Macaca fascicularis: one gene and its partners. The protein of the gene in region 6 interacts with the protein of the main gene of each other region in a biochemical or structural test. Links are inferred from orthologs where the notes say so. Each region holds a gene or a part of one and is shown on either strand. Other genes may lie near its edges.

What was found.
Region 1: the proteins of TRIM28 (region 6) and CBX3 form a complex in vitro, tested with the Homo sapiens proteins (2 studies listed by BioGRID). The link is inferred for Macaca fascicularis from reciprocal best matches to the Homo sapiens genes TRIM28 and CBX3.
Region 2: the proteins of TRIM28 (region 6) and melanoma-associated antigen C2 form a complex in vitro, tested with the Homo sapiens proteins (3 studies listed by BioGRID and IntAct). The link is inferred for Macaca fascicularis from reciprocal best matches to the Homo sapiens genes TRIM28 and MAGEC2.
Region 3: the proteins of TRIM28 (region 6) and IRF1 form a complex in vitro, tested with the Homo sapiens proteins (2 studies listed by BioGRID). The link is inferred for Macaca fascicularis from reciprocal best matches to the Homo sapiens genes TRIM28 and IRF1.
Region 4: the proteins of TRIM28 (region 6) and CBX5 form a complex in vitro, tested with the Homo sapiens proteins (6 studies listed by BioGRID, with this or other methods). The link is inferred for Macaca fascicularis from reciprocal best matches to the Homo sapiens genes TRIM28 and CBX5.
Region 5: the proteins of TRIM28 (region 6) and FBP1 form a complex in vitro, tested with the Homo sapiens proteins (2 studies listed by BioGRID). The link is inferred for Macaca fascicularis from reciprocal best matches to the Homo sapiens genes TRIM28 and FBP1.

What each region holds. Positions count from the first base shown.
Region 1 is NC_088377.1:104,102,697-104,107,304, forward strand, and holds the start of CBX3 (chromobox protein homolog 3), read right to left. Parts: upstream 3,047-4,608; 5' UTR 2,922-3,046; intron 2,734-2,921; exon of another isoform or gene 2,018-2,733; intron 1,503-2,017; 5' UTR 1,475-1,502; coding exon 1,451-1,474; intron 1-1,450. Other genes in the region: HNRNPA2B1 (heterogeneous nuclear ribonucleoproteins A2/B1), read left to right, coding at 3,913-3,918.
Region 2 is NC_088395.1:148,298,002-148,301,786, forward strand, and holds melanoma-associated antigen C2, read right to left. Parts: upstream 2,279-3,785; 5' UTR 2,226-2,278; coding exon 1,104-2,225; 3' UTR 747-1,103; downstream 1-746. UniProt on the Homo sapiens protein: Proposed to enhance ubiquitin ligase activity of RING-type zinc finger-containing E3 ubiquitin-protein ligases.
Region 3 is NC_088380.1:139,015,022-139,019,818, forward strand, and holds the start of IRF1 (interferon regulatory factor 1), read right to left. Parts: upstream 3,047-4,797; 5' UTR 2,796-3,046; intron 1,762-2,795; 5' UTR 1,757-1,761; coding exon 1,670-1,756; intron 306-1,669; coding exon 206-305; intron 1-205. UniProt on the Homo sapiens protein: Transcriptional regulator which displays a remarkable functional diversity in the regulation of cellular responses.
Region 4 is NC_088385.1:61,123,380-61,128,077, forward strand, and holds the start of CBX5 (chromobox protein homolog 5), read right to left. Parts: upstream 3,047-4,698; 5' UTR 2,932-3,046; intron 1-2,931. Other genes in the region: HNRNPA1 (heterogeneous nuclear ribonucleoprotein A1), read left to right, coding at 3,731-3,745, 4,312-4,428. UniProt on the Homo sapiens protein: Component of heterochromatin that recognizes and binds histone H3 tails methylated at 'Lys-9' (H3K9me), leading to epigenetic repression. In contrast, it is excluded from chromatin when 'Tyr-41' of histone H3 is phosphorylated (H3Y41ph).
Region 5 is NC_088389.1:128,433,248-128,437,819, forward strand, and holds the start of FBP1 (fructose-1,6-bisphosphatase 1), read left to right. Parts: upstream 1-1,526; 5' UTR 1,527-1,842; coding exon 1,843-2,012; intron 2,013-4,572. UniProt on the Homo sapiens protein: Catalyzes the hydrolysis of fructose 1,6-bisphosphate to fructose 6-phosphate in the presence of divalent cations, acting as a rate-limiting enzyme in gluconeogenesis. Plays a role in regulating glucose sensing and insulin secretion of pancreatic beta-cells.
Region 6 is NC_088393.1:66,277,491-66,282,255, reverse strand, and holds the start of TRIM28 (transcription intermediary factor 1-beta), read right to left. Parts: upstream 3,267-4,765; 5' UTR 2,972-3,266; coding exon 2,632-2,971; intron 2,308-2,631; coding exon 2,195-2,307; intron 1,969-2,194; coding exon 1,836-1,968; intron 398-1,835; coding exon 262-397; intron 181-261; coding exon 64-180; intron 1-63. UniProt on the Homo sapiens protein: Nuclear corepressor for KRAB domain-containing zinc finger proteins (KRAB-ZFPs).

The DNA of each region.
Region 1 (4,608 bases), on a different chromosome or scaffold from region 6:
TCCAAGTCAGGTCTTATGATTCTCATTAGTCAAGATACTTGAGTACTGGGCCCAAACAGATTTCTGTCATTGTACAGTACAAGAAGGTAGAAATAATAGTGGGAGAAGCAAAAACAAATTGGAAGAGACAGAAGTGTATTAGATACCTATACTACATGAAAAACAAAACAGCTACTGCCACAAAGGGAGAAGGCTAACAAAATAAAGAAGTAAAAAATAAGTATAGAAAATGAAAAGGATACATACTAAGGTTAAAAAAAAGAAAAAAAAAAGGGGCAGACAAAATACCATACAGTATTTACTACTATGGCATTCATAAGCTAGTTTCAAATGCTCACCATTTTCTTTTGTAGTATATGTTTGGCTTAACCCAGTACTTTTTTCCAAATGTGGATTTGAGTCAAAATAAATTTCCCATTATTTAAGTGAAATTAACAGTACATATATCTCACAACACTAATGAATTTTTAAAATGAAAAGTTAAAAAAAGTTTTAAAGTGGCCAACCTGTGATCCCTCACAAAATAAACTATTTAAATACCAATAAATAACAGACCCCAAAGAGTATCAATTGCATGCAAAAACAAATTCTGTTTTCCAGGGTATCTGACTTAACATAGAATCTAATGATGGCACAAATTAAAAATCACCAACGTGCCCTTTCTAGTGTGAAACCCAGAGAGAACATATACAGACCAAAAACAAATGCTTTACTTTACCTAGGAGACATTAACATTCACCTTTACGCGCTTAAGATTAATGCAATATGTTGAGAGTTAAATATTGTGAAAACTGTAACTTTGAATTTCATGATTTTTATGTGAATATTCCAAGGTTTTAAAAAACTTGTAACATGACATAGCTGAAGAAGATACAAAAAATCTAGCCTTTTCTCCCTTCTGGATCGTATTTGCTATTTCGATCATTTTTTTTAAAAAAAACAAAACACCGCAATGAATTGTATTCAAGATTCTTCTATATTTCAGAGTAAGTTAAAACAAGATAAAGTGACCAAAGCCATTTGAAAGATTCACTAACTTGCTCCAACCTAGGTGCACAAGGTACCTGGTTCTTCAAATTTGGCTTTAATGAAAATACTTCTCCAGAATTCTGGGGATTTAAGGAAAATTATGCCAACCAACAAGGGCTTTATTATTTTATGTAATATTTTGCAAAAACGTGGGTATTTCTATCTGAAGATAAAAATCCTCAGCAAAATCCACATTGCACTGTCCTTCAAAGATTAAACTAGTTAAGACGCTATTAAGTCAAGTCAGCAAGTATCTCCATGTAATGAATTCGTTTTGCTCCTAATTTTCCCCTATAATTATACTGGGAGAGCTGGGAAATATGTCGATGTAAATTTCTCAACCACAAAGATGCAAAGTTATACTTTGGGGGAAAAAACCTTGGGTTAAATCCTTACATACTTTAGCTTTTCATTAACTTACCAATGTAGTTTTATTGGAGGCCATTTTTTATTGCAGACTTGAAGAACTATTACTAGAAAAATGCATGACAGTTAAGAGAAGTTTGCACGACACAAAAAAGGTAACTAAATACAAGTTCTGTTTGGATTCCAACCCCCAAGTAGGGAGCGCACATTTCAAACGTTGATACAAATCCAGAGTAGATTTGCGCTCCTACCTACATTGCTTATGATGCACGTAAGTACGTGTTCTAAACATGTGAGTCTAGAAAGACTTTACTGGGGATCTTGGTACCTAAGGCAGCTTCACATGGCTTAACATAGGGGACAAATATCTTTTCTAATCTAAATCCCATTTGTAATCAAGTCCATGTTCCATTTTTAAAGGACAATCCTTTCGGTTTAAAACCATGCACGATTACCCAAACAACTCACAACTGTAAACCCCTGTGAATCTTCTCTGTTCTGCAATCCTAAGTTTGTTTCTGCTCAGAAACCCTCTCTTTTTCCAATCAGCAGTTAACTAACTAAAGGAAAAAACTTAACGATGCTTCAACCCCGTTTCGTGACACTTTGAAGACGCAATCACCTTTTGCACACACCCGCTCCCCCTCCGCCTCCGACCCTCTCCGCTGGAGCTCTGCGTCCCGAGGCCTAAGCGCAGCTGCCCGCCCCCACCCGGGAGCGCGGGCCTCGTGGTCAGCGCATCCGCAGGGAGAAACAAAGGCCGCGGCGCGGGGGCTCAAGGGCACTGCGCCACACGGCACGCGCCTACCCCCCGCGGCGGCCACGTTAACGGGACGGCCGCCGCAACCTCGGGACAGTCGGCCGCGCGCCGCCAGGCCTCGCGGACACGGGACCACGCGCCGCCCTCCCGGAGGCCCAAGTCTCGACCCAGCCCCGCGTGGCGGCTGGGGGAGGGGGCGCCTCCGCCGGAACGCTGGTGGGGGAGGGGAGGGAAAATGCGCTTTGTCTCGAAATAGGGCGACCGTCGCCACAGCTCCCTACCCCCTCGAGGACCGAACAGTCCCCCCACTAACTGCCGGCGCCGGCCCCGAGCCAGGTCAGCCGCGAGGCCACCGCCCGACCCTCTCCACTCCTTCCCGCAGCTCCCGGCGCGGTGTCCGGCAAGGAAGGGAGGGGAGCGGAGAAGCGGGCCCCCGGGGCGCGTGCAGCATCTGATGCACCACCACCGAGCGAGGGCTAGAGAGAAGGAAAACCACCGACTTCACCGCCTCTGAGCTGCTCCGGGTCGCGGGTCTGCAGCGTCTCCGGCCTTGCGCGCCTACAGCTCGAGCCACATCCGAGGGGTGAGGGAGCCGGGAGCTGTGCGCGGGGCCGCCGGGGGGGGGAGGGGTGGCACCGCCCACGCCGGGCGGCCACGAAGGGCGGGGCAGCGGGCGCGCGCCCGGCGGGGGGGAGGGGCCGCGCGCCGCACCCGCTGGGAATTGGGGCCCTAGGGGGAGGGCGGCTGCGAAGACCGCGGCACTTACCGTTCGCCCCGTGGCGCCTGGTGGTCCCCAAGGGGAGGGAGGGGGGAGGAGGGGCGAGGACGGTAACCGGAGTCTCCTCAGCGGTGGCTTTTCTGCTTTGCAGCCTCAGTGCTGGCGCCAAAACCGGACTCCGCCCACTTCCTCGCCCCTGCGGTGCGAGGGTGCGGAATCCTCCAAACGCTTGGGGAGAGAGAGTTGGGAGCTTAAAAACTAGTACCCCTTTGGGACCACTTTCAGCAGAGACCCCTCCTGTACCCCAGGGGTCAGCTGCATAGACGCGGGTCAGGGTTAGGTCAGTGTGGCGTGAACGATAATTTGACTAGAAGTTGATTCGGGTGTTTCCGGAAGGGGCCGAGTCAATCCGCCGAGTTGGGACACGAAAAACGAAAAGGGAAGGCTCATATTATACTACGATTTTTCTGGCGGGGGTTATCAAAGGCGTAGCTGCAGGGACCACCTCCCAGGTTGAGAGGGCTGGAACTCCGGGCTCCGGATTAAGCTCCTCCCGTCGGCGTTAATTTCAAACTGCGCGACCGTTTCTCACCTGCCTTGCGCCAAGGCCGGGGGCGGGACCCTATTCCGAGAGGTAGTAACTCGCGGGACTCGAGCCTTCCGCAATTCACTGAGCGCATTTACGGAAGTAACGTCGGGCACTGTCGCTGGCCACAGGAGGGGGAGGAGTACGCATTTGGCGTAAGGAGGGGCGTAGAGCCTTCCCGCCATTGGCGGCGGTTAGGGCGTTTACGCAACGGCCTGACGTAGAGGAAGACGCGTTAGTGGGGGGGAAGGTTCTAGAAAAGCGGCGGCAGCGGCTCTAGCGGCAGTAGCAGCAGCGCCGGGTCCCGTGCGGAGGTACTCCTAGCGGTGTTGTTTCTCGAGGAGAGGCAGTTCTCACTACAGCGCCAGGACGAGTCCGGTTCGTGTTCGTCCGCGGAGATCTCTCTCATCTCGCTCGGCTGCGGGAAATCGGGCTGAAGCGACTGAGTCCGCGATGGAGGTAACGGGTTTGAAATCAATGAGTTATTGGAAAGGGCATGGCGAGGCCGTTGGCCCCCTTGTGGAAGTCGGCCGGCCGCCTCCGTGGGAGAGCGGCAGGAAATCGGACCGCTTCAGTAGCAGTGGGGCTTGAGGTTTATGAACGGGGTCTTGACCGGAGGCCTGAGCGTACAAACAAGCTTCCCCACCCTCGGCCTCCCGGCGCCATTTCCCTTCACTGGGGGTGGGGGATGGGGAGCTTTCACATGGCGGACGCTGCCCCGCTGGAGTGAAAGTGGGGCGCGGAGGCGGGAATTCTTATTCCCTTTTTAAAGCACGATGCTTTGGGGGCCACGGCGTCTCCGCGGCGAGTGTTTCGGCGGGCAGCGGGTACCCGTGAGCGAGGCTGCGGAGCTTCCCCTCCCCCTCTCTCCCGGGAACCGGATTTGGCGGCCGCCATTTTCATGGCTCGCCTTCCTCTCAGCGTTTTTCTTTTAATTCTCTTATTCTTTTAGTGTGCTTTCTCTGTCAAGGCATAGAAGTGGTTAACTATTTTTCTTTCTTCTCGGGCTCTTTTCATATCGTTTCGAGGTGGATTTGGAGTGTTTTGTGAGCTTGGATCTTTAGAGTCCTGCGCACCTCATTAAAGGCGCTCAGCCTTCCCCTCGATGAAATGGCGCCATTGCGTTCGGAAGCCACACCGAAGAGCGGG
Region 2 (3,785 bases), on a different chromosome or scaffold from region 6:
CAGCCTAGAGGCTTCTGGGCACCACTTCAAGGGATTATCACTACATTTCTCAGGAAACCCTTGCAGATGATGGATATCAATCACCTGGTTCTTGCACTGTGTTCAAACTCACCAGTTACAGAGCCACAGGACACCTTCCATTACTTCCCCATGTGGAGACTCCTCTCTGCTTCATCCTCCACCCAGAAGCAACTGCTCAGAGCAATTCCCCATTCCAGGCTCTTCCCTCACCCTCCGAGAGTCTGGTCCCAGCCACCACCCAGCTTTGTAACTACCAGCCCTCAGAAAAGCAACTGCAGTTTTCCAAAGCCCCAAGCTGCCTTAGCTCAAGACCTTTACACTTGAAGGCTTGCATGTGGAGTCTCACCTCCCCAGCCCCTTTTTAACTTGTTCTTTAGATTGTAGAGAACATCTTACCACCTTCTTGATATGGCTTCTGCTCCTAGACTCTACTGTTTTATGGATAGAGATAAGTCATGCTTTCATTAGCATCCCCACTACTAACAGTGACTTCCACAAGCAAATACTGAAAGAATGCTCAGCAAATAAAGGAGTCAGTGGGGCTTTCTTTTATTAAGATTTAATTTCTGCTACTTTCTTCAACAAGCTAAGCAAAGCCAGGTATATATCTTTAATTTTCAAGAACAAAAGAATAAGCAGGACAAGGAAATGAAAATATTGACCATCCTTCACGTTGTCCCACTATTTAACTGCTGAGTTATTGCGTATTGTAAAAAACAAACAAACAAACAAACAAACAAACAAAAAGCCTATTACAATACCACACTACCCTGTTACTGATCACAAAATAAGGGAGAAGGTATTTCCATTTTTTTTAAACAAAATATCAAACTGTTACTCTTAAACCAGATAAACAGCAATACATGTGTGACCAATATTCATAAATTAATGCTCTGAAGCTAACTACCTGCTATTCAAAGGAAAAGCATTCAAAAAGTACTGAAAAACAGGTAAATCTCCACATCGCCCATATGGGACAGAAATGCAAAGAACATTATGTTCCTCGAGCCCCACCTGGCCCTCCACTACCTAGAACCTAAACTGCCTTGTTCAAACACAGAGCGCAGAAACTATCCTAGACTTCACTCAGAAAAGGGGAGGTTGCTGGACATGACACTGAGGCTTTCAGTGGCCATGACAGTGGCATCATCTGTGGTATCAGTCATGGCCTGGGCTCTCTCTTCCACATCTTTCAAAGCATCCTTGTACCAGGATGGAAAGGAACTAGGGACAGTGTTGTTCAGCTTGGCTAAAAACTCTAGTACTTTACTCTTGATGCTTTCTGAATGGGCTCTCGGACCCCACAGGAATTCATAATATGGAGGAGAACTGTTTGGCACCTCCCGACACTCCAGGTATTGCCCCTGCACCCAAACTTTAGTGAGGAGCTCCCTGGGCTCCCCATAGATGAAGTGCTCCCTCCCAGCATACACCCCTATTGCATTCAGCACTTCCCAGATGACCTCCTCAGAGGCAAAGCTGCCCTTTATGAAGATCACACTCAGAATAATAATCAGGAGGCTGTTCTCCGGCATGCCCTCATCATCACTACCCTCATCAGTGAGGTCTACTGTGTTTGCAAACACAGAAAAGTGGTCAGGGCCCACTTCTATCAGGGCAAGGCCAAAAAGGAGCTCCATGAACTCACGGGCTCTCTTGAGTATCACAGGAAAGTAGTCTTTGTACTTGATGACAATCATCAGCATCTCTGCCTCTGTTACAGGCTCCTCTGCTTTGTACCTGAGGAGCAGGAACGCCACTAACTCGGCCACCTTTTCATCTAGTGTATGTGTGAAAGAGGACTCACTGTCTGGCAGGCCCTGACAGGTACTTGTATCCTCCTCTTTTTGGCTGCTGGACTCTTCACTGAATGAGCTCCATGAAAAAGAGGAGCAACAGGAGCTCAGAGGACTCTGGGAAGGACCCTGTGGAGGACTCTGTGGAGGACTACTGGGAGTGCTCTCGGGAAGACTTGGTATCACATCAGACGGCACCTCCTCCTCAGGACCACCAAGAATCAGAGAAGAGGATGAGGAGAAGGAAGAGGGGGAAAATACTAAGTAGAAAGTGGAAGAGGAAATGGAGGAGGCTTCCTCCTCTTCCTCATCTGTGGGATCCTGTGCATCTACCCAGTCCTCTGACTCAACTGAGGCCGGAGAGTCGTCGTCAACGTTGTGGAATGGAACGCCCGGAATGGGAGGCATAACGACTTCTTCAGGCGCAGCAGGTAAAGGTATCAACAGGGATATGGATGATGAGATCCAACAGGCCTGTGGAAGAGAGTGACAGTGTGAATGGCCTCAGCTGAGAAACTCACCCATGATGGCTCTGACAAAGGCCAACTTAGAGCTCTTCTTCTCTTAAGGTGGTGCTCTAGGGCCTCACAGGTCTCCTGTCTTCCTAGGGAGTTTGTCTGCTGGCAACCTGTAGGAGGATGTGGGAACACACCTCAGGGCACAGCTGGCAGGCAGAGCCTGAGACCCCAGGAATAACAGTAGGTGGGTACGGCCGGGTGCTGTGGGGTCTCCTCTGTTTCTGGGGGTACGGCCCTTGGTACACAGTCAGGGTGTGCACTCACCTTGACTCCTGGCACTGCCTGGGTCTCCTCTGCTGTGCTGACTTTAGGATGTGTGCCTCACACCCAGTTTGTCACCACCTGGTTCCTGGAGCACCTGCAAGAGGAAGTGACGGAGCCCCTCAGGTTAAAGACTACAAGTAGAGTCTTGGGCCTCCCAGGGCTGACAGCTGGGGCTGGCCAGAATCCCAGAGCCCCATAGTTCTGGACTGCATGGCCCCCTCAGAATTTAATTGGAAACCTCACGGCTTCTCAGAGAGGGTCAAGCCCCCACCACTCTGCTGGCCTAAGGCAAAACCTCCTAGCAACCTCCACATCCCTGAGAGCAGTGGGAGGTAGTGCAGTGGCAGCCACCTCCCAGGACTCTACCATGGAGGTGGTCTGGGTGGCCTCACGTCCGTTCTGATGCACATGTGACTCCTGTCTTCTGTCTTATCGCCAGCAGGGCCTGGGAATCTTCCCTCTGCCAACCAGAGGCAGCTCCCCGTGCTGACTTGCCACGGGACCCCCAGAACAAGGCCTCTGCCTCCCCTCCACCCCTCACCCAGAAATGAGATGGCTGCCACTCAGCCTGAGCTGGCAGGGGAGTTCTACGAGGGCTGATTCTCGAGGAGCAGGGTGGGAATCTGTGGGAATCTGTCCTCTGAGATGGGGGTTCCCCCAGTCCTCCTCAATGTCTTCCTATTTATTCCCTAGAGGGCTGGCACCTCCTCCCTTCTTCTGTGGGCATTTTCCTGTCTGGGACCTACCAGTCCCACTGCAGCGGCAGTGCAGGCCGGGATTTCATCTCTCTATGGTGGGAGGTCCCTCAGTTCTTCCTCAGGGCCCTCACCTTGTGGACTGGCCAGGTCTAAGACTCCCCGCAGCTGACTTGATTCGAATCTCCTTGCAAAATGCCTCCGATCCTTTAGATTCCCAAGATGGCCGTCTGGAAAGCACATCCGGGAACCCGGCCGTAGTGGTCCAGGGCTGACGGCAGCGTCAACGTGGGGCGGGGCCTCCTCTCTGAGAAGGAACCACTCCCCACCTCTCCGCTTCTTTTCCATCCCTTCCTTCCCACATCCCAGCTGCCCTCCAACCCTTCCTGCTCACTCCCTAAACCTTGTGGACCTTTTCACTCCCACCTCCCCAGTCCTTGACATCCCACCCTCCTTTTTCCAGGGGTGTCAGCAGGGAGCGACTTGGTGCA
Region 3 (4,797 bases), on a different chromosome or scaffold from region 6:
TGGCTTTAGAAATCCCTTTGAGAATTTGCTGAAATGATGGACTCTCTTCTCCAGAAACACTAGTCTGCCACCAGCCCCTGTTCCCAGTAATTCTGCATATTGTCTCAGGGAGCTCAGGGACCCCAGTGAAGAGCCTCTGTGTTAACGTTAGTGCCTCCTCTTGTCTCTACCCTGGCCTTCCTAGGCCTGAGTCCCAGGCACACACCTGTGTGAATGGCCCAGCTCCGGAACAAACAGGCATCCTTGTTGATGTCCCAGCCATGCTTGGCAGCATGCTTCCATGGGATCTGGAAGATCATCTCCTCCTGAACAACACACACATATACACGAGGCTGTGTCAGCTCAGAGGCCACAGACTTTGGGGCTGAGTCTGAGACCCAGGCTTGCCCAGCCAGACAGGTCTGAGAAAAGGCTGACTTCCCCTTTTCCCCCTGCCATCTGGCTTGGACTGACCCATCTTTAGGCTGGCTTAAACAGACCACTCGGGATCTCTCAGGAGGGACTCCTAGTTCGGATGAGCTGCAGCACTATTAGCTCACAAAGACCTCCCTCTGCCTGTTACACATGTGCTAGGACCCACACAGGGCACCCTCCCCCAAAGCCCTGATTTTGAAGCTCTGGGATGTTTCTCTCTGGCTTGTAAACACCAACATGGAAGTAAGAACTTCTTCCATTAGAAAGGACTCCTCAGGACACCTGGGACCATGGGCTTCTACACAAGAGGTCCTGGTCATACGACTGAGGGAGCTAGACTTGGATGGTGAACACTGTGTAACCCTGGCATTGTCACTGTATCTCTTTTCCCCTCAGTTTTCTCTTCTCTGAAATGAGAAAACATATCCAACAAAATTTTGAGAATTAAAAACCAGAGAATGTGTAGGGACACAGTGACAAATATGAAGTCTAAGGTCTTACTGTTATTATCACTGATGGTTAACAGTAAAGATTTCTGAGTCAGACCATTCAAGTTCAAATCTTGGCTTCATCACTTTTTGTGTGATCTTACAATCTTCCTCTCAGTGCCTCTGTTTACTTATCTGAAAATGATGACATGAACAGGACCTACCCCACAGGACTACTGCGAGGATTAAATGACACAATGTAAATAACATACGTAGCAGGTGCCAGGCACACAGAGAGTGTTCAGTAAGCATTAGCTATTATTATGAATACTATCATTGCTACTAAGCCTATAGTGTCTATGTTGCCCCAAGTGCACCAGCTATAGGCTTCTTGGGCCACAGTGACTGGTGCAAGATTGATTCGTTTGTCCTCTGCTAAGCCAGCCACCTTTCTGCCCAGCAGCATCCACTTCTCAAGTCTTCTATTTGTTTGATTAGAGCCCTGCAAGGTGCTGTGTATGTTTGTAAGGGTCTCCCTCAGAGGAGACCAGAACTCCAGCTCTGCAGATGCTGGGAAAGTCTTGCTGCTGGAAACTGGAAGTGCCTTCAGGTGGGTGCCCTACCTCAAGAAGGGAAGAAAGCAGGAGTCGTGCAAGTGAGGCCCAGGCTGGGCCTTGCACACTCCCTCCCTGCATGCAGGACCCATTGGGAGAAACATCTGCCTGTCCTGTTATCACTTCCCTTTTTGAGCTGCATCTGAAGCTTTGGTCCCTCCAGAAGTACATGGGTTAAAACAGTGGCAGGAAAACCCAAAGAGTTACACTCACTTTATTAATCCAGATGAGCCCCGGGATTTGGTTGGAATTAATCTGCATCTCTAGCCAGGGTCTCATGCGCATCCGAGTGATGGGCATGTTGGCTGTAAAGAGAAGACAGAGGCTCCAGTCTGGAATCTGTTGAACAGTACCTGGGCACTGACCTGCCCCACCCGAGTTCACTTAGTTACCCTCCCCTCAGCCAGCTACTAGGTACTACACTCAGTGGGGAGGGGAGCTGCCCTGGAATAAAACTGCTCTCCAAGTTTTTTCAGCATCTTAGGCAAAAATGCTTCTGCCCCTTCCTCCATCCCAGCCAGTCTCTGGATGAGACAGGCATGCAAGTGATGGCTTTAGGATTCATGTGCAGGAAAAGAGAGAAAATGCACAGATATCCTAATTTCAGAACTTTTCGCTCAAAATTCAAATCCTTTGGGAAGGGAGGGACTTCTTTTGCTTGATGCCAAGAAGAAATTCCCTTGACTTGAGTTGTCACCACTAGCTAGTAAAGGGCTAGCCATCACCCTGAACAGCCCCCCTGAATCCATTCTACGCCCTCCTGACAGTCACAGAGCCCACTACGCTAAGACTAGGACGCTAACCCTTCCGGCCCGGTTTCCCCTCCTCTGGAGAAGCGGCCCAAGGAACACCTGTGGCGCCTCTTCCCGCAGTCTCCGTAGGTCACGATTCCCTCCAGCCACCTGGGCAGTAAGCCAGCCCTTGTCACCAGCACAGGGAGCCCAAAACCTGGGGCCTGGGCGCGAAGCTGGGACCGCCGAAAGCCGGGAGCACTGGGCGCCCACGCGTGGGCGGACACTCGGTCCCCGGCACGGCGTGTGGATGCGCGGGACGAACGTAGCGGGCCACCTACAGGCCCCCAGCGGCTGCGCGCACGCATATCTGCGAAAGCTGCCCGGCGCCGGCAGCCTCGTCCGGGTGGGCGGTCCACGCCGCGGCCCGCCCTCCCCGCGCCGCGGCTCGCAGCTCCTCCGGCGCCCCCCGGAGCCCGCGCGGGGGCCCGGGCAACGCCGCGCTCCCGCGAGTCTCCAACCTGGGGTTTTCGAACCCCCACTTCCTGGTGCCCCGCGCGCCTTTTATTCGACGCCGCCGGTCCCCCGCGCCGCAAAAGCGGACTCACCTTTGCTGCAGGAGCGATTCGGCGGCGGCGCGCGAAGGTCCCGGCGGCGGCGCGCGAAGGTCCCGGCGACGCAGGGGCTGCCGTGAGGGGGCGCGGAGCGCGACTCCGGGTGGAAGGGGGAAGAAGGCAGAGGCTGTCTGGGTCTCAAGGCCGCTGGGCACGGCTGGCGTGGGCTGGGCAAGGCTCCGGGTGGCCTCGGTTCGGCGGGGCTCGGGCGCACGTCCTGCCTCGACGAAGGAGTGGCGAGCTCTGCCAGGGCAGCGGCGCCACCGAGCAATCCAAACACTTAGCGGGATTCCCCAGCCCTGGCCGGCCCCGCCTCCGGACAGCCGCGCGGGCGCCCATTGGCCGACTGCGTGCCGTCATTTCGGGGAAATCAGGCTGTTGTAGAGCTAGCGGCGAAGGGGAAGTACAGGGCGGCTGCTCCGCCCCACCCTCTCCGGCCGGGCGCCACCGCCCCGGGGCCACCACGGGCCCGCCCCGCGCGCTCCCCATCCACCCCTGCTCCGGCTCGCCCGGAGGAGGGCTGCCCTGGACAGCCCGGCACCCCCGGCCCCAGCCTCTCCTCTCACTCCGCCTTCTCCCAGCCGGCTGGCTCCTGGGGCCATCTTTTCACCCTCCTGGCGGGTTGGGGGCGGGGGTCTATCTCCTGAACGCAGGTGAGGGGATCGCCCGGGCACTTGCCGCCCTCTCCAGGGGGAACACCGGCCGAATCTCCCGACTGGCAACCTGGCTCCTCAAGCTTGCCAGTGGGGTATCAAGAAGGGAGAGTTTCAGTCCTAGCACTACCCCTGTTTTTAGGGGTGACCCCCTTTCTCCAGGTCACTCACCTGCCCTGGGGAAGTGAAGGAAGCAGAAAGCCTACCCTGCACCGTGTGCTGTCTGGGGCTGCTGAACCAGGGGAAATCTCAACTTGGCCGCTGCTGGCACAGCCCCCAAGGGACTCAGGACCTCCGTTTTTCAACCATAAAATAACAGTAGCCCTACCTTGATGGTTTGCTGTGATTGTAAAGCACTATGCTCCACTCGGGCAACAGACGCTGAGTAGTTTTCAAGGTCGCCGTTCCAGGGTCTAATAGTGACCAGGATGACACCCCACCCCTTTTTGGTCTGCCTCCCTGGGACTCCCCCTGGCTGGCCTTAGGGAACAGAGGAGGAGAAGGGGTTCAGAGAAGCCCAGATGGCTGAGTGAGGGTGGGGGTGGGGTAGTTCTGATCCCTCCTAATACACAGGCCGCCTCCAGAGCCTCCCTGTGGCCCGCGTATGGGAGTTCCTCAATGGAAGTATTGCTGTCATCTCTGAGTCCCCAGGGCTTGGCCCAGAGAGGTTCTGGGCAGCATGGAGGAATTAGCTCAGGGCTGATCAACGCCATGGACCTAGCGAAAGGGTTGGGGAACCCAGGTCCTATGTTCCTTGGTAAGGGCCCCTACTTAACTCGCGCTCACAACTAGTCCCCGCCCCACTTATAGTCCTAGAGACTTGACTGGGTGTTCATTTTCCATCCAAAACTCTGGCCCAGGAGGCTTCTTCCTTCATCTCTCTAAAGCTCCTGACTCAGAAGTAAGTTACTCTCCCAGGCGTGTCATTTCCTTCACTCCAGCTGTCCCTGCAGGGCAGCACCCCATTTTGCGGGCTATAAATAGACACACTCATGCAACATTCGACTTGCCAGTCACTCTACTACCTCCCTCCCGTAGAGGAAATGCATGGGTTAATCCTATTCTGGTGTATTGCAATCTGAGTGCTGTGACCGATGCCAAACCTGGCATCGGTACCAGCAGAAATGGGCAAAACTGTCTACCAGATAGAGGTGAGTCAGGAGCTAGGAGAGGAAAGGAGGTAGAAGAAACTGAGGAAGGAACCTAACTGAGTGTTAAGCAAAGTGGAGGGCAATGACACTCTGGAATGGAAAGATGGGGTTTGGGGTACTTTAAGTGACAAATGGGAGTGGGGACTTGCTACAGGGACCAAGACCTTCTGAGCAAGAATGAGAGAAAACAAG
Region 4 (4,698 bases), on a different chromosome or scaffold from region 6:
TCTCACTCTGTCACCCAGGCTGGGGTGCAGTGGCACGATCTTGGCTCACTACAACCTCTGCCTCCAGGTTGAAGCGATTCTCCCATCTCAGGTTCCTGAGTAGCTGGGATTACAGGTGCCCACCAATATGCCTGGCTAATTTTTGCGGGGGTTTTTGTTTTTTGTTTTGAGACGGAGTCTCGCTCTGTCACCCAGGCTGGAGTGCAGTGGTGCAATTTCTGCTCACTGCAACCTCCGCTTCCCGGGTTCAAGCAATTCTCTCTGCCTCCCGAGTAGCTGGAATTAGAGGTACCTGCCACCACGCCCACTTAATTTTTTTGTATTTTCAGTAGAGACCGGGTTTCACGATGTTGGCCAGGCTGGTCTTGAACTCCTGACCTCAAGTGATCCACCCACCTCAGCCGCCCAAAGGGCTGGGATTACAGACATGAGCCACTGCGCCCGGCCCAATTTTTGTGTTTTTAGTAGAGACGGGTTTCACCATGTTGGCCAGGCTGGTCTCAAACTCCTGGCCTCAAGTGACCCGCCCACCTCCGCCTCCCAAAGTGCTGGGATTACAGACGTAAGCCACTGGCACCAGATCAAGTGGTAAAAATTTTAATAAAAATTTCCTTTTATCAAATGGAACAATGATCAATTCTGTATCTAAGGAGATAAACATCAGGATTTAGCGATCCATTTACCAAAGGCCACTCCCTAAACACTTCAACCATCTTCTCTCACTTTTACCTATTTTCCAATTGGTAAAATAATGGATTTTGAAAAAATAATAAACTCTAGCATTTTATTTTTATTTTTTAGCAATGGGATCTTGTTGTGCTGCCCAGACGAGTGCAGTGGCTATTCACAGGCATAATCATTTCACACTGCAGCCTTGACCACCTGAGCTCAAGCCTCCTGCCTCAGCTTCCATAGTAGCTGGGACTACAGGAACACGAAACTGTGCCCTGCATACTCCAGAATTTTGGGAGAATGATTTTCAACCGAGGGAGATTTTATCCCCGATCCCTACCTCTCCGGACATTTGGCAATGTCTGTTAACAATCTGATTGTCACAAATGGGGATGTGGCGAGAGGTGCGATGTTACTGGCATACAGTGGGTAGAAGCCAGGGATTTTGCTAAATATTTTACTATGCACAGGACACCCCGAATACCCTTAACAAAGAATTATTATCTGCCTCAAAATATCAACAGTGCTAATGCTGAGAAATCTTGCTGCAGGTTAAGACTGTATTCCTTTCAAACCTAAATAAATCCAGGACAGATACCCTTAACCAGTATCACTTTAGTTCTCAGAAGCTCAGCAACCCCATTACTAGCATACCTACAAATAGGTTTAAAACCAGGGATAAATTATATATAAATACTTTATCCTTTTGCTAGTGCCAGAGAACATGGAAATTTTTCCTCTGTTCATAAACTGCTATTAAAATCGTTTGTCTTTGGTATAAAGTCGGAAAGGTCTCTAGTCATAAGTGTACTTCATAGGTAGTTGATTTTCAGTATTTAAGTATTTTCCCTTGATCCTGAATTATTGAACAAAGCAGTAAGACTCTGATACAGCCAATGTTATCAAAATTTATTTATTTCTCCAAAAGATCCTGGAATAAGCAGAGGGGGCATTACCAAAAGGAGATAGACTGCATGTAAAACACACTTCGAAGGAAATCTAATTAAAAGGCAAGGAATAATCCAGGTGATGGATGAGTCTTCTGTCCCCAGAACCCTAAATATTACCCTCTTTAAGCGTTTCTTTTTTAATCCAAAGTCAGATATCCTCAAATGAACATCAAAATGAGGGGTTTTAGGATATCTTTAATGGTGTAAAGAAAGGAAATGTATGAGAGGGAAAGTTCCCGGGAGAAAGAGACTAAAATAAAAGCACTGGGCACATGGATTATATAAATCAGAAAAAGGGTGGTAAGTATGTGATTATGATTAGAAACACAAAACAATTGACTTCATTTTTTATTTAATTTTAATCACAAATCATTAATCTTGCAAAGTTTTAAACATTAAAGAACCAGCCTGCCTCGATCCTACTGTGTCCCTAGGACTGACACACTTTGGTGTGTAGCTTTGGAAAACTTTTCTATGGACCTACAAACATATTGTTCGTGGAAATATGCACTATCAGGATATAGAGATTTCTCCTATTCGTTCTAACATTTTAACAGTCTTCCTAAAGAAGCGACTTCTGAAAGTATTATAAAAAAACAAACAAAAACCTCCTCTGTTCCCCAAACCTCAAGTGGTGAGGAGGCGGGGGAAAAATGGTCAAGTCGAGGAATACACGAGGAAACTTAGGCTTTCAGGGAGGTGTATGGGACTGAGGCCTAAAGGCTCCGTTAGAACATTAGAAAAGTCATTGTGGATAAAACATTCATCCTCACACGCCATTACAGGCACCGACTCCCCTTCCTCACAACCCCAAATCGAAGACCTCTCTCTTTTGGAGAGCCGATTGGACGACTGGTCCCAGTGCTTTCCTTAGGCTGTCCGTCTACTGGCTCCAGATTCGTTCCATCCGTTTAACCGCCCGATCCCGCATTCCCCATTGGAGTCAAACCGCTGCCTCCTGGAGAAGCCCAACCTACCGCGCGCTTCCTGCTCACTGGCTCAGTGAGACGCTGCTCAGAAGGGGAAAACCCATCTCCCACATTCCGATGGCCCAAGGGCCGATCAGTCGGCAGCTCAAGGCACACCCAATTGGCCTATACACAAGCCAGTCAAAGTCTTCGGCTGCACAGCTCCCAAGAACCTACAGGGATTAAAACATCCCGCCCCCTGTTCTCCTATTGGTTGACCCGATCCACCGCTGCCCCTTGACTATCCCCCACCCCGCGGTCCATTCATTTCACACAATAACGGGCCCAAATGGAGTCAGTTCAAGACCTACTATGGGTAGATAAGACTGTCTGCCACTTACCCGGGATTGAGAGTGATCACTCACGCTAACGTCTGCCCTGTTCCTGTTTGGTGAGGCCGCACCACTAGCCACCACCGCCGCCGCCTTCTGCGCAACGCCAACCGCCCGCCAAAACGGATCCTTCCCTGCGCCTGCGCAACCAATCCTGGGACCGGACCTTTTTTCTCCGCCCACTGCGCATGCGCAAAGCTAGAACCAACTCCCGCCAACACGCAGGCGCCGTAGGTTCACTGCCTAGTCCTGCCCGCCATTTCACGTGTTCCCAGAGGCAGGTGGAACTTCTTAATGCGCCTGCGCAAAATTCGCCATTTTGCTACACGTGCGGTCAACAAGCGTTCTTTGCAAAAAAACTGTGACCTCCTGGCTGCTTGTCTAATACATAGTGTTAATCATGCTTTGCCAAGCGACTTGACTGTAATATTTACGCGTGGAAGATGAAAAAGGCGTTAAACACCCCAGGTAGATTCAAACATGAATGATTGGTCGGTTGGCCAATCAGACTGGTTAACAGTAATATTACTCGAGAACCAATTGACTCCAAGGGGTGGAGACGCGTAGAACGCCCAAAGGAATGACGTTACACAGCAATGTGGCACCACAGGCCAATAGCAAGGGGAAGCGATTTCAAATGTCCAATCAGAGCTGTTCCAGGGCGGAGTCTACCAATGCCGAAAGCGAGGAGGCGGGGTAAAAAAGAGAGGCCGAAGGTAGGCTGGCAGATACGTTCGTCAGCTTGCTCCTTTCTGCCCGTGGACGCCGCCGAAGAAGCATCGTTAAAGTCTCTCTTCTCCCTGCCGTCATGTCTAAGTCAGAGGTGAGTTAGGCGAGCTTTCCAACTTGAATGTTTTTCGTCTCCCTTTTCTGAATCGGTAAGATGCGGCTTGGTTTCGTTCCTTGCACCAGCCGATTCTACAGTTAACTTCGGTCGCTGCCAAGGCCTACCCCTCCCAAAGTTCAAGTCGCCATTTTGTCCTCTTGATCGCCATGAGGCCGCTCTCCGCCAACCACGAGTTATCACGCGGGACTCGCTACTCGTAGCAAAATTCTTAGGCACACAGGATCTTTGTCTTTTTTTAAACCTTGCCTTGGTGAGCGAGATTTCTGAAGAGCGGTTAGTCCCATTATGGAGATGCACCCCTCCCGCCCAAGCCTTTGTTGCGCGTGCGTCGGAAGACGACTAGAGACGCATGCGCTTGCGATTTCCCAGCACTCCCAACCCCCAGCATACTGCCTCCCTTGGTGGGGAGAAGCACGTGGCCTGTTGCGACCTGAACAAACAATAAGTGCTAGGTACACAGTTGGTGTCTAGTTTTTCTTTTCCTTGATGGAAATTGTTTCGTGTTGTAGTCCATTTAACACTTCCCCCTTCTCCCACTCCAGTCTCCTAAAGAGCCCGAACAGCTGAGGAAGCTCTTCATTGGAGGGTTGAGCTTTGAAACAACCGATGAGAGCCTGAGGAGCCATTTTGAGCAATGGGGAACGCTCACGGACTGTGTGGTAAGAATTGGGACAAAGCAGTAAAATAGCCGAGATTTCCTTGGCATATCTTGGTGCAGTCCTCTCTGAATGCTTATGAAAGTTGTTAGTAGCATTATGGTTAGAGCTTTGTCGACAAAGGAATATTCTGCTTTGATTTTAAAAGCTACCTGTTAAATCTAGGGTAGTGGGAAACTGGACCGCTTTTCATAAAAGGCTGGTATAAAGTTTCCTATTGCCCTATTCAAAGTTAAAATGACAAAAGCTTCTGCGGTCAGACTTTGTTACATA
Region 5 (4,572 bases), on a different chromosome or scaffold from region 6:
GCCTTTGTGTGGCGGCGGCGGACTCTGTGTCAGCGACCGACCGTTCACATCTTGGAAACTCAGATCCTCAATAGCTCTTGAATTCCAGGAATCCTGAGAAGAGGCCTGGATTAAGGATTTCGTCGTGGGCCCTCAGATGGGTGAGAAACGGGGAACCCGTGTGTCCCAGCGGGGACGGAGGGGCAGTGACAGCACAGGCAGGTGGACAGGGGGGCAGTGACAGGATGGGCAGGTGGACGGGGGGGCAGTGACAGGACGGGCAGGTGGACGGGGGGGCAGTGACAGGACGGGCAGGTGGACGGGGGGGCAGTGACAGGACGGGCAGGTGGACGGGGGGGCAGTGACAGGACGGGCAGGTGGACGGGGGGGCAGTGACAGGACGGGCAGGTGGACAGGGGGGCCAGTGACAGCACGGGCAGGTGGACGGGGGGCAGCACAGGCAGGTGGACAGGGGGGCCAGTGACAGGACGGGCAGGTGGACAGGAGGCCAGTGACAGCACAGGCAGGTGGACAGGGGGGCCAGTGACAGGACGGGCAGGTGGACAGGGGGGCAGTGACAGCACGGGCAGGTGGACAGGGGGGCAGTGACAGGACGGGCAGGTGGACAGGGGGGCCAGTGACAGCACAGGCAGGTGGACAGGGGGGCAGTGACAGCACAGGCAGGTGGACAGGGGGGCCAGTGACAGCACAGGCAGGTGGACAGGGGGGCAGTGACAGCACAGGCAGGTGGACAGGGGGGCCAGTGACAGCACAGGCAGGTGGACAGGGGGCCAGTGACAGCACGGGCAGGTGGACAGGGGGGCAGTGACAGCACGGGCAGGTGGACAGGGGGGCAGTGACAGGACGGGCAGGTGGACAGGGGGCCAGTGACAGCACAGGCAGGTGGACAGGGGGGCAGTGACAGCACGGGCAGGTGGACAGGGGGGCCAGTGACAGGACGGGCAGGTGGACAGGGGGGCAGTGACAGGACGGGCAGGTGGACAGGGGGGCAGCACAGGCAGGTGGACAGGGGGGCCAGTGACAGGACGGGCAGGTGGACGGGGGGGCAGTGACAGGACGGGCAGGTGGACAGGGGGGTAGTGACAGGACGGGCAGGTGGACAGGGGGGCAGTGACAGCACGGGCAGGTGGACAGGGGGCCAGTGACAGGACGGGCAGGTGGACAGGCCTGGGCAGGGGCCGGGCAGGAGGCCGCGCGGGCGGGTCTGCGGAGCGGGGGCTGCTGGGGGTTTCGCTGCCCAACTGGGGCGCTGAGCAAGTTACTCAACCTCTGTGAACTTCCGCGTCATGATTGTGGAGGAAACTCCTGCAAAGAAACAGCTTTTCTCTCCGGCGGGTCCGACGGCCCGAGCCCCGCCCCGCAGCGCAGATGGAGGGCGCGGAGGCTGCGAGGGCGGCGCGGGGAGGGTCCGAAGATCCGGCGGGCGGAGCCGCGGGCTGGGCGGTGGGAGGCGGCGCGGGGTGTTCCCGGGGGCGGGGGCGGGGCCGACCCGCGGCTAAAGGTTCCCGGTTCACCCGCCCGCGCCCGGCCTGGCCCAGTCTCACCGCGAGCGCCGCGGACACTCGGGGCCGCAGTCGGTCTGTCCGTCTTCCCGCCAGGTCCCGCCCCGCACCTGCCGCCGCACCTGCCCCCGCACCTGCCGCCGCACCTGCCGCCGCACCTGCCGCCGCACCTGCCCCCGCACCTGCCGCCGCACCTGCCCCCGCACCTGCCCCCGCACCTGCCGCCGCACCTGCCCCCGCACCTGCCGCCGCACCTGCCCCCGCACCTGCCGCCGCACCTGCCGCCGCACCTGCCCCCGCACCTGCCCCCGCACCTGCCGCCCCGCGGCCCGGCCCCAGCATGGCTGACCAGGCGCCCTTCGACACGGATGTCAACACCCTGACCCGCTTCGTCATGGAGGAGGGCAGGAAGGCCCGCGGCACGGGTGAGCTGACCCAGCTGCTCAACTCGCTCTGCACGGCCGTCAAAGCCATCTCCTCCGCTGTGCGCAAGGCCGGCATCGCGCACCTGTGAGTCGCCTCGGGCGGGGCCCGTCTGTCTGTCTGTCTGTCTGTCCGTCCGCCCGGGGAGCCTGTCCGGCGCTGGGCCCTCTGGTCCTCCTGCGTCAGCCTCTGTCCGTCCGTCTGATGTCCGGGCGCCTCTCTCGCTCTCCGTCTGGTGGCCCCTCTCTGCGGAAGCTGGCTCAGCCTCACTCAAGTTCTCACCCCCTCCCTTGACCTTGGAGGGGCCACCTGGGGGTCCGTCTCGCAGGTGCACGCCGGATTCCATCCTCGTGCCCCTCTCAGCCGGCACCTGGCCTGCCCGTCATACCCGCCCTGGCCTCAGACAGGAAGTGCTGGCTCAGGTGCCTTCCGTCCCCATCTCTTCTTTCTCTCTTTCTGTGATGAGGCGCCCAAGTCAGGTTTCTAATCCAGTATCTCTGACCCGAAACGAGACTTGTTAGGAGCGAGTGTCCCCCTCCCAAGCAGGCTGGGAGGTCTCCTGTGTGTCCAGAGCCTTTAGGAGCAGCCTGGTGTGCAAAGGAGCTCCCGTGGGCTGCCCCTTGCTGGGACCGTTGCCATGCTGTGCCAGAAAGAGGAAACACCCAGGGCTTCAAAACCCTAATCCATTTGCAATGACGGTGTGTGCAGCCCCCACCCAATTAGTGGAAAGCTCAAAAGTTGTTTGTAGAATGGTTTCGAATGCTCTGTGGGGTGCATCTCGAACGTCACTGGGCACCGGAATCATTGGGGATCTTGGTAAGACGTGTGCCCTCTTTCCGTCGCTCTGGGACGGGTCCTGAGATTCGGCATTTCTGAGAAGTCCTCCTGTGGTGGATGCTGCCCGTCAGATACTGTGTGTCTGCTGATCTCATTGTGAGTAGCAAGGGGTCAAGGCGAGGGGAGACTCAAAGGACCCCTTCTTGTGAGGTTTTTGTAAGTCACACAACATCCTTTCGTTTGTGTTGGTGTGCACAGGTATTTTCTTTTTCTTTCCTTTCTTTCTTTTCTTTTCTTTCTTTCTTTTTTTTTTTTTTTGAGACGGAATTTTGCTCTTGTTGCCCAGGCTGGAGTGCAATGGTGCGATCTTGGCTCACTGGAACCACTGCCTCTCGGGTTCAAGCGATTCTCCTGCCTCAGTCTCCCGAGTAGCTGGGATTACAGGCATGTGCCACCACGCCCAGCTAATTTTGTAATTTTTTTTAGTAGAGACGGGGTTTCTCCATGTTGGTCAGGCTGGTCTCGAACTCCCGACCTCAGGTGATCCGCCTGCCTCGGCCTCCCAAAGTGCTGGGATTACAGGCATGAGGCACCGTGCCCAGTCGTGCACAGGTGTTTTCTAGCTAACTGATCCACACTTTTAACTAAACGGTAACTGGGTTTTCAGATTGTCCATACACCTTCCTAACATTTCCTGCACTTACGTACGCTATAAAAATGACACATGATGGACCGGGCGCGGTGGCTCATGTCTGTAATCCCAGCACTTTGGGAGGCCAAGGCGGGTGGATTGCCTGAGGTCAGGAGTTCAAGACCAGCCTGACCAACATGGTGAAACCCCGTCTCTATTAAAAATTCAAAAATTAGCTGGGTGTGGTGGTGTGCGCCTATAATCCCAGCTACTCGGGAGGCTGAGGAAGGAGAATTGCTTGAACCCTGGAGGCAGAGGTTGCAGTGAGCCAAGATCGCACTATTGCACACCAGCCTGGACGACAAGAGTGAGACTTCATCTCAAAACAAAAGACACATGATGCTCAGAGCTGACCTGAACAAATATAATCCCACTACTTTGGTTTGGAATGCATGTCTCCATTTTTAAAATCTCTTCTCCGCCCCCCATCCTGCAATCTAGATTCCTCTTCTTACTGGGAGGCTGTCTGGCGTTGGTCCCACAGTATGGATTGGCGGAGATCATTCATGTAAAGGAGTTGTATGATCACATTTATTTTTGAATATTAAGCAGACATGTTAAGGAAGGCGATGACTCCATTGCTGTTGCCTCTGGCCCCTCTTAATAATACATTCCTAAGGATTCTTACTTTAGAAACACACCCAGGTGAAATCTTATTCAAGCTTTAATTTACAGCTATTATAGGTGGCTCACAGCTTTAACTGCCTTTGAGGACCAGGGATATATTTTAAAAAGAGGGCTGTCGACTGGGTGCTCACACCTGTAATCCCAGCACTTTGGGAGGCCGAGGCAGGTGGATCACCTGAGGTCAGGAGATGGAGCCCAGCCTGGTCAACAAGGTGAAACCCCGTCTCTACTAAAAATAAAAAAATTAGCCAGGCTTGGTGGCGGGTGCCTGTAATCCCATCTACTTGGGAGGCTGAGGCAGGAGAATTGCTTGAACCTGGGAGGCGGAGGTTGCAGTGAGCCGAGATTGTGCCACTCTACTCCAACCTTGCGACAGAGTGAGACTCTGTCTCAAAAAAGTAAGTCTCAGAAAAGAAAAAAAAAAGGGCTTATCATGTCTGATAGCTTAAAAAATGGTCAGTACCTGTCACACTTCTAGAGAGACTTAGAAATGTAAGATGTGTTTTGAAGTGTCCCACTTCCTAAGTAACCTTAGATAGTGGGACCTCAGAT
Region 6 (4,765 bases):
AGGTCAGGCTAGGTAGGGTCTTGCTGCCCTGGGCCACTCCACAGCCCCAGAACCCACACTTACGAGCTGCGAACCTCCTTGGTGCTCTTCTGCAATGTGGCATGTTTGTCCCCAAGGCGCTTCACCAGTGAGGCCAGGAGCTTGCGCTGGTTCCTCACTGCATCCTCTAAGAACTGGTACCTGAGAGCAGACAAATGTGTTCCTGAGCACTAAGCTAGGGAAGGGGTGGCACCCACCCAACCACTATGCCTTGGGACTCACTGGTGGTCCTTGTGGGCATTGAGCTGGCAGTCTCGGCAGGTGAGAGTATCACAGCTCTCACAAAACAGCACAAGGGGTTCATGCTTGTGTACGTTGCAATAGACGGTACGTTCACCATCCCGAGACTTGGCTGGCCCTGGGGAGTCGGAATCATAAGGCTGGACCTTGCCCTTCACCACCCCCAACTCAGGAAGCAGACTAAGTTGGGGCCTCATTTCCTGCCCATTCTGTGACACTGGGCCATTTATTGGGAAGATGTAGAGGGTGTGGCCAGCGAAGAACACAGGCCTGCAAGCCCAATTCCTTGCTCCCAGAAACCTCTGCCCCAACATAGCTGAGAAACACATCCCTTTCTTCTAGCTTCTAGAGGTGACACAAAGGTAAAGGTAAGGACAGCCTCCGGAAAAAGAGGACTACCCCCCCACACACACTGTTCCCTTTATTCTCCAAGTGGACATATTCAGAATTCTGCCTACAAACCACCCTGGACTCCTTTTCTTCTCCTTTCATGGTTAACTTCCTCCCTCTTTCGTGACAAGAAAACACCAGGGTCTCTTACAACCCAAGAGCCCAGAGAAAACCTGTAGAGGTTCTCATACTGGGAGAGATAAAATGTCAAACTAGGACCCTCAGAATGGTGGTCACACCCCCTCTAGACCAGGAGCTTGGTGCTCAGCATAATTCCACCCCAAGACCAACACATTAATAACCTTCAAAGCCTGCTTCCCCATTAGAAAACCGATTAAGCATAGTGGTCCAACATACCAACCAAATCCAAAATACGTAGCATCAGGGCTCACTGGGGAAACTGACTTCCCCAGTGCCACCATTCCTGCACCCTGACCTTTGCTTGGGACGTCTGGAATGTAGGACACCCTGCAGCCCCTGCCTATCCCTCCTGGCTCCTCAGGCCCCACAGCCGCCACTTTCCCACTATCTTCCACCAATGCTGGCCTCTGGGATGGGAAGAATCACGGTATGGCTACCAAAAGGCCACTCATGGGAGGATTTTGGCCCAAAAACTGGGCTACACTCAAAAGACTCTCAAGCTCCTTTCCAAATCAAAGCTAGCGAGTGTCTGCGAAAAGCTGGAAATGCCAAACCAAACTCCGGGTAAGTCTCTGCCAACTCAAAAGCTAAAACGTTTCCAGAAATCACCATCACTTATAACCCATGGACCCACAAAGTCTCATTTTCCCTAACAGCGTCTTATACCAGATGTGTGCCAGGGAACCACAAACCCAGTAAGCCCTTCACACCATGCCTTTCCCTGTTTGCATATTCTGAGCCCTTCAACACCAGGACTGAGAACTCCCTGATAAGCTTCCTCAAACCCTCTGTACCTCCCTGCAGCACATTAAGGTCTCCACGTCTCCCCTTCCCACCCCCTCCCACCTAAGCCCTAGAGACTACACACCACAACCACAATTTTCCTGCTTTTGGAGTTCTGCTCTCCGGCCCTTCGGGCGGCACCCCCTGGACAACTCTAGGACCCATCCACCAAATGCAACCAACATTATAAAAGCAACTGAGGGCACACACGGGAAAGCAACAGCCCCCTCAGCCTCACGTACCAGTAGAGCGCACAGTGTGATCCTTGGTGTACTTCACCCGCTGGTGCGCCTCTACACAGGTCTCACACAGAGGCTCCGAGCACTCCACACAGTAGCTGGTAGCTGGGGCATTATCCTCACAGCTAGTGCAGCACTGCCAGACAAAGGCAGGGTCAGAGAAAGCAAGACAACTTGCTAGATCCACATCTACACCTCAGAAAATACAACCCAAGATTAAGATTGGTCCCTTGACCCAGCCTAGACAGCCCACCCAGAGCCTTGGGAAAGTCGAGTAACAGCCTGGGAGCTGGTGTCAAGCTCCTCCTGGGCAGATGCCCCCTCCCCAGAAACCTCCCTGTGGTTGCTGCGGTTGGACGCACCTGGTTAGCATCCTGGGCGTCGGTGGCAGCCTTGCTGCCACTATCACGCATGAAATAATTCTCCACGATGTCTTTGGAGAAGCACTGTTGCTTGCACACGGGACAGTCCACCACTTCAAGAGGCAGGGATGTGGGAGACTGTTACAAGTTCCCACCCAAGTTATGGCCCCCCGCATCCCCGTGCTGGGTGGGCCCCCGACCATTACCCCGCAGCGAGCCAGCCCCTCCCCTCCCCGAGCCCTTTCTCCAACTTTAGTCAGATGTCTCATCTCAGCGGCCAGCTCAAACCCACGTTCCTATGCAGGACCCAGAAAGTACTCCCCGTGCACTGTCCGGGCCCCCATCCTCTTGCCCAGGTGGCATCCTCATCTCTGCACCCAGTGGGAATCAAAGGCAGAGAGTAGGGGGAGGGGTGGCCCCGATCACTTCGTACTTACCGGCGCCGTCGCCCGCAGCCCCGCCGTCCCCGGAGCTGTTGGCGGCGGCGGGCGCCGCGGGCCCTAGGCAGGCACTACAGGCCGAGTGCAAACAGGGCAGCAGGCGGGGCTCCCTCTCGGGTCGCAGGCGCTCTCTGCACACGCCGCAGTGCTCCAGCAGCTCCAGCGCCTCGGCGCCGCCCCCCGCGGGCGACGACACCGAGGCCGAGGCCGAGGCCGAGGCCGCGGTCGAAGAAGCGGTGGAGCGCTTTTCGCCGCCAGCGGAGCTCTCGCCCGGGCCCGGGCTGCCAGAGGCGGCCGAGGCCGCTGCTGCCGAGGCTGCCGCCGCCGAGGCCGCCATTCACACGCCGCCGGGGGCGCCCAGGGGGGAGGAGGGGCGCGGGGCCCGCCGCGCAGGCGCAGACGCGCTCGCCGCCAACTGCTGGGCCGCCGCCGCCGCCGCGAGGCCGAGCACCGCCACGCGCCTCCTGGGCCGCTGCCCGCCGCGCGCGGGACGCTGCTGCGGCACCGCCAACTGCTGCCTGCTCGCCTCCCGAAGGCGCCGCCCGCGCTTCTTCCTCAGCCGCCGCCGAAACCCTCACCACGCGCCACAAGCACAAGCACAACCGCTCGCCCGCGCGCCCGCTCGCAGAAAGAGCCGAGGCCGGGGGGCGGGACAGAAATAACTGGCGCCGACGCCGCCGCGCACGCGCATTGGGCGCCGCACGCCCGGGGGCGGGGCCCAGGCCGGTCGGGGCGGGAGAGGCTGCCAGTACGCACGCGCCCACTCCGGGTCCTTCCACCACGGCCAACCCCACGTCGGTGGGGTCTTGTGGGGGCGGGGCGGTCCCTCTGTGACGTCACTGCCGCAATTTAATCCGCCAGTGGGGTGTGCGCACCTTTATAGAGTGTGATTCCCCTCTCAGCTCCACCTCCAGACCACACCGAAGCGGGCCGCTGTGCGCCCAAGCGCATGGGCAGTCCGTAACTCTTCCTCAACCCGCGTCTTTTCGCTCGCGTAGAGTCGTCTCCAGCCTCTGCGTCACTAAGCGTTCGGGATAGGGGGCAGGGCCAATGGAGAAGTAGGCGGGGCCAAGACGGAGTAAAGGGCTGTGCCCCGGGAGAGGGGAGGACAGGCTCCATCCCAGGAGGGAGGAAGCGCCTGTGTGAGAGCAGGGGCTGACTTTTGAATTTTAACCACGTTATAGTTAAACTTGAGAAACACAGAAAGTTGCCTAAATCAAATGTAGATCACAGACGGGCGCCGTGGCTCATACCTGTAATCCCACCATTTTCTTAGGCGAATCGGGAGGCTCCGTTTAGCCCAGGAGGCCGGGGCAGCAGTGAGCCGGGATTGTGCCACTGCACGCCAGCCTAGACAACAGATCGAAAAAAATGTGGCCGGGCGCGGCGGCTCACGCCTTTAATCCCAGCACTTTGGGAGGTCGAGGCGGGTCGATCACCTGAGGTCGGGAGTTCGAGACCAGCCTGGGCAACATGGTGAAACCCCGTCTCTACTAAAAATACAAAAATTAGCCGGGCGTGGTGGCGGGCGCCTGTACTCCCAGCTACTCGGGAGGCTGAGGCAGGAGAATCGCTTGAACCCGGAAGGCGAAGGTTGTAGTGAGCCGAGATCGTGCCATTGCACTACAGCCTGGGAGAAAAGAGCGAAACTCCATCTCAAAAGAAGAAATCTTTTTGTGTTTGTTTTGAGACGGAGTTTTGCTCTGTTGCCCAGGCTGGAGTGCAGTGGCGCGATCTCGGCTCACTGCAACCTCTGCCTCCCGGGTTCAAGCAATTATCCTGCCTCAGCCTCCTGAGTAGCTGGGATTACAGACATCCGCCTCCACACGCCCGACTATTTTTTGTATTTTTAGTAGAGACTGACTTTCACCACTTTGGCCAGGCTGGTCTCCAACTCCCCACCTCAGGTGATCAACCCGCCTCGACCTCCCAAAGAGCTGGAATTACAGGTGTCAGCCACCACGCCGGCCCCCCTACCGCCCGCCGCAAAAACACACACACAAACTATAAATCACAAGAGGCTACAGAGCAATGAGTCTATGAAATCCCATCCAGCCCCCCAGGCGTCCCGTCCGCATGATTTAGTCAGTGGCTACCCTGACTTTGATGCTTTTCCAGATGGGGAAACTGA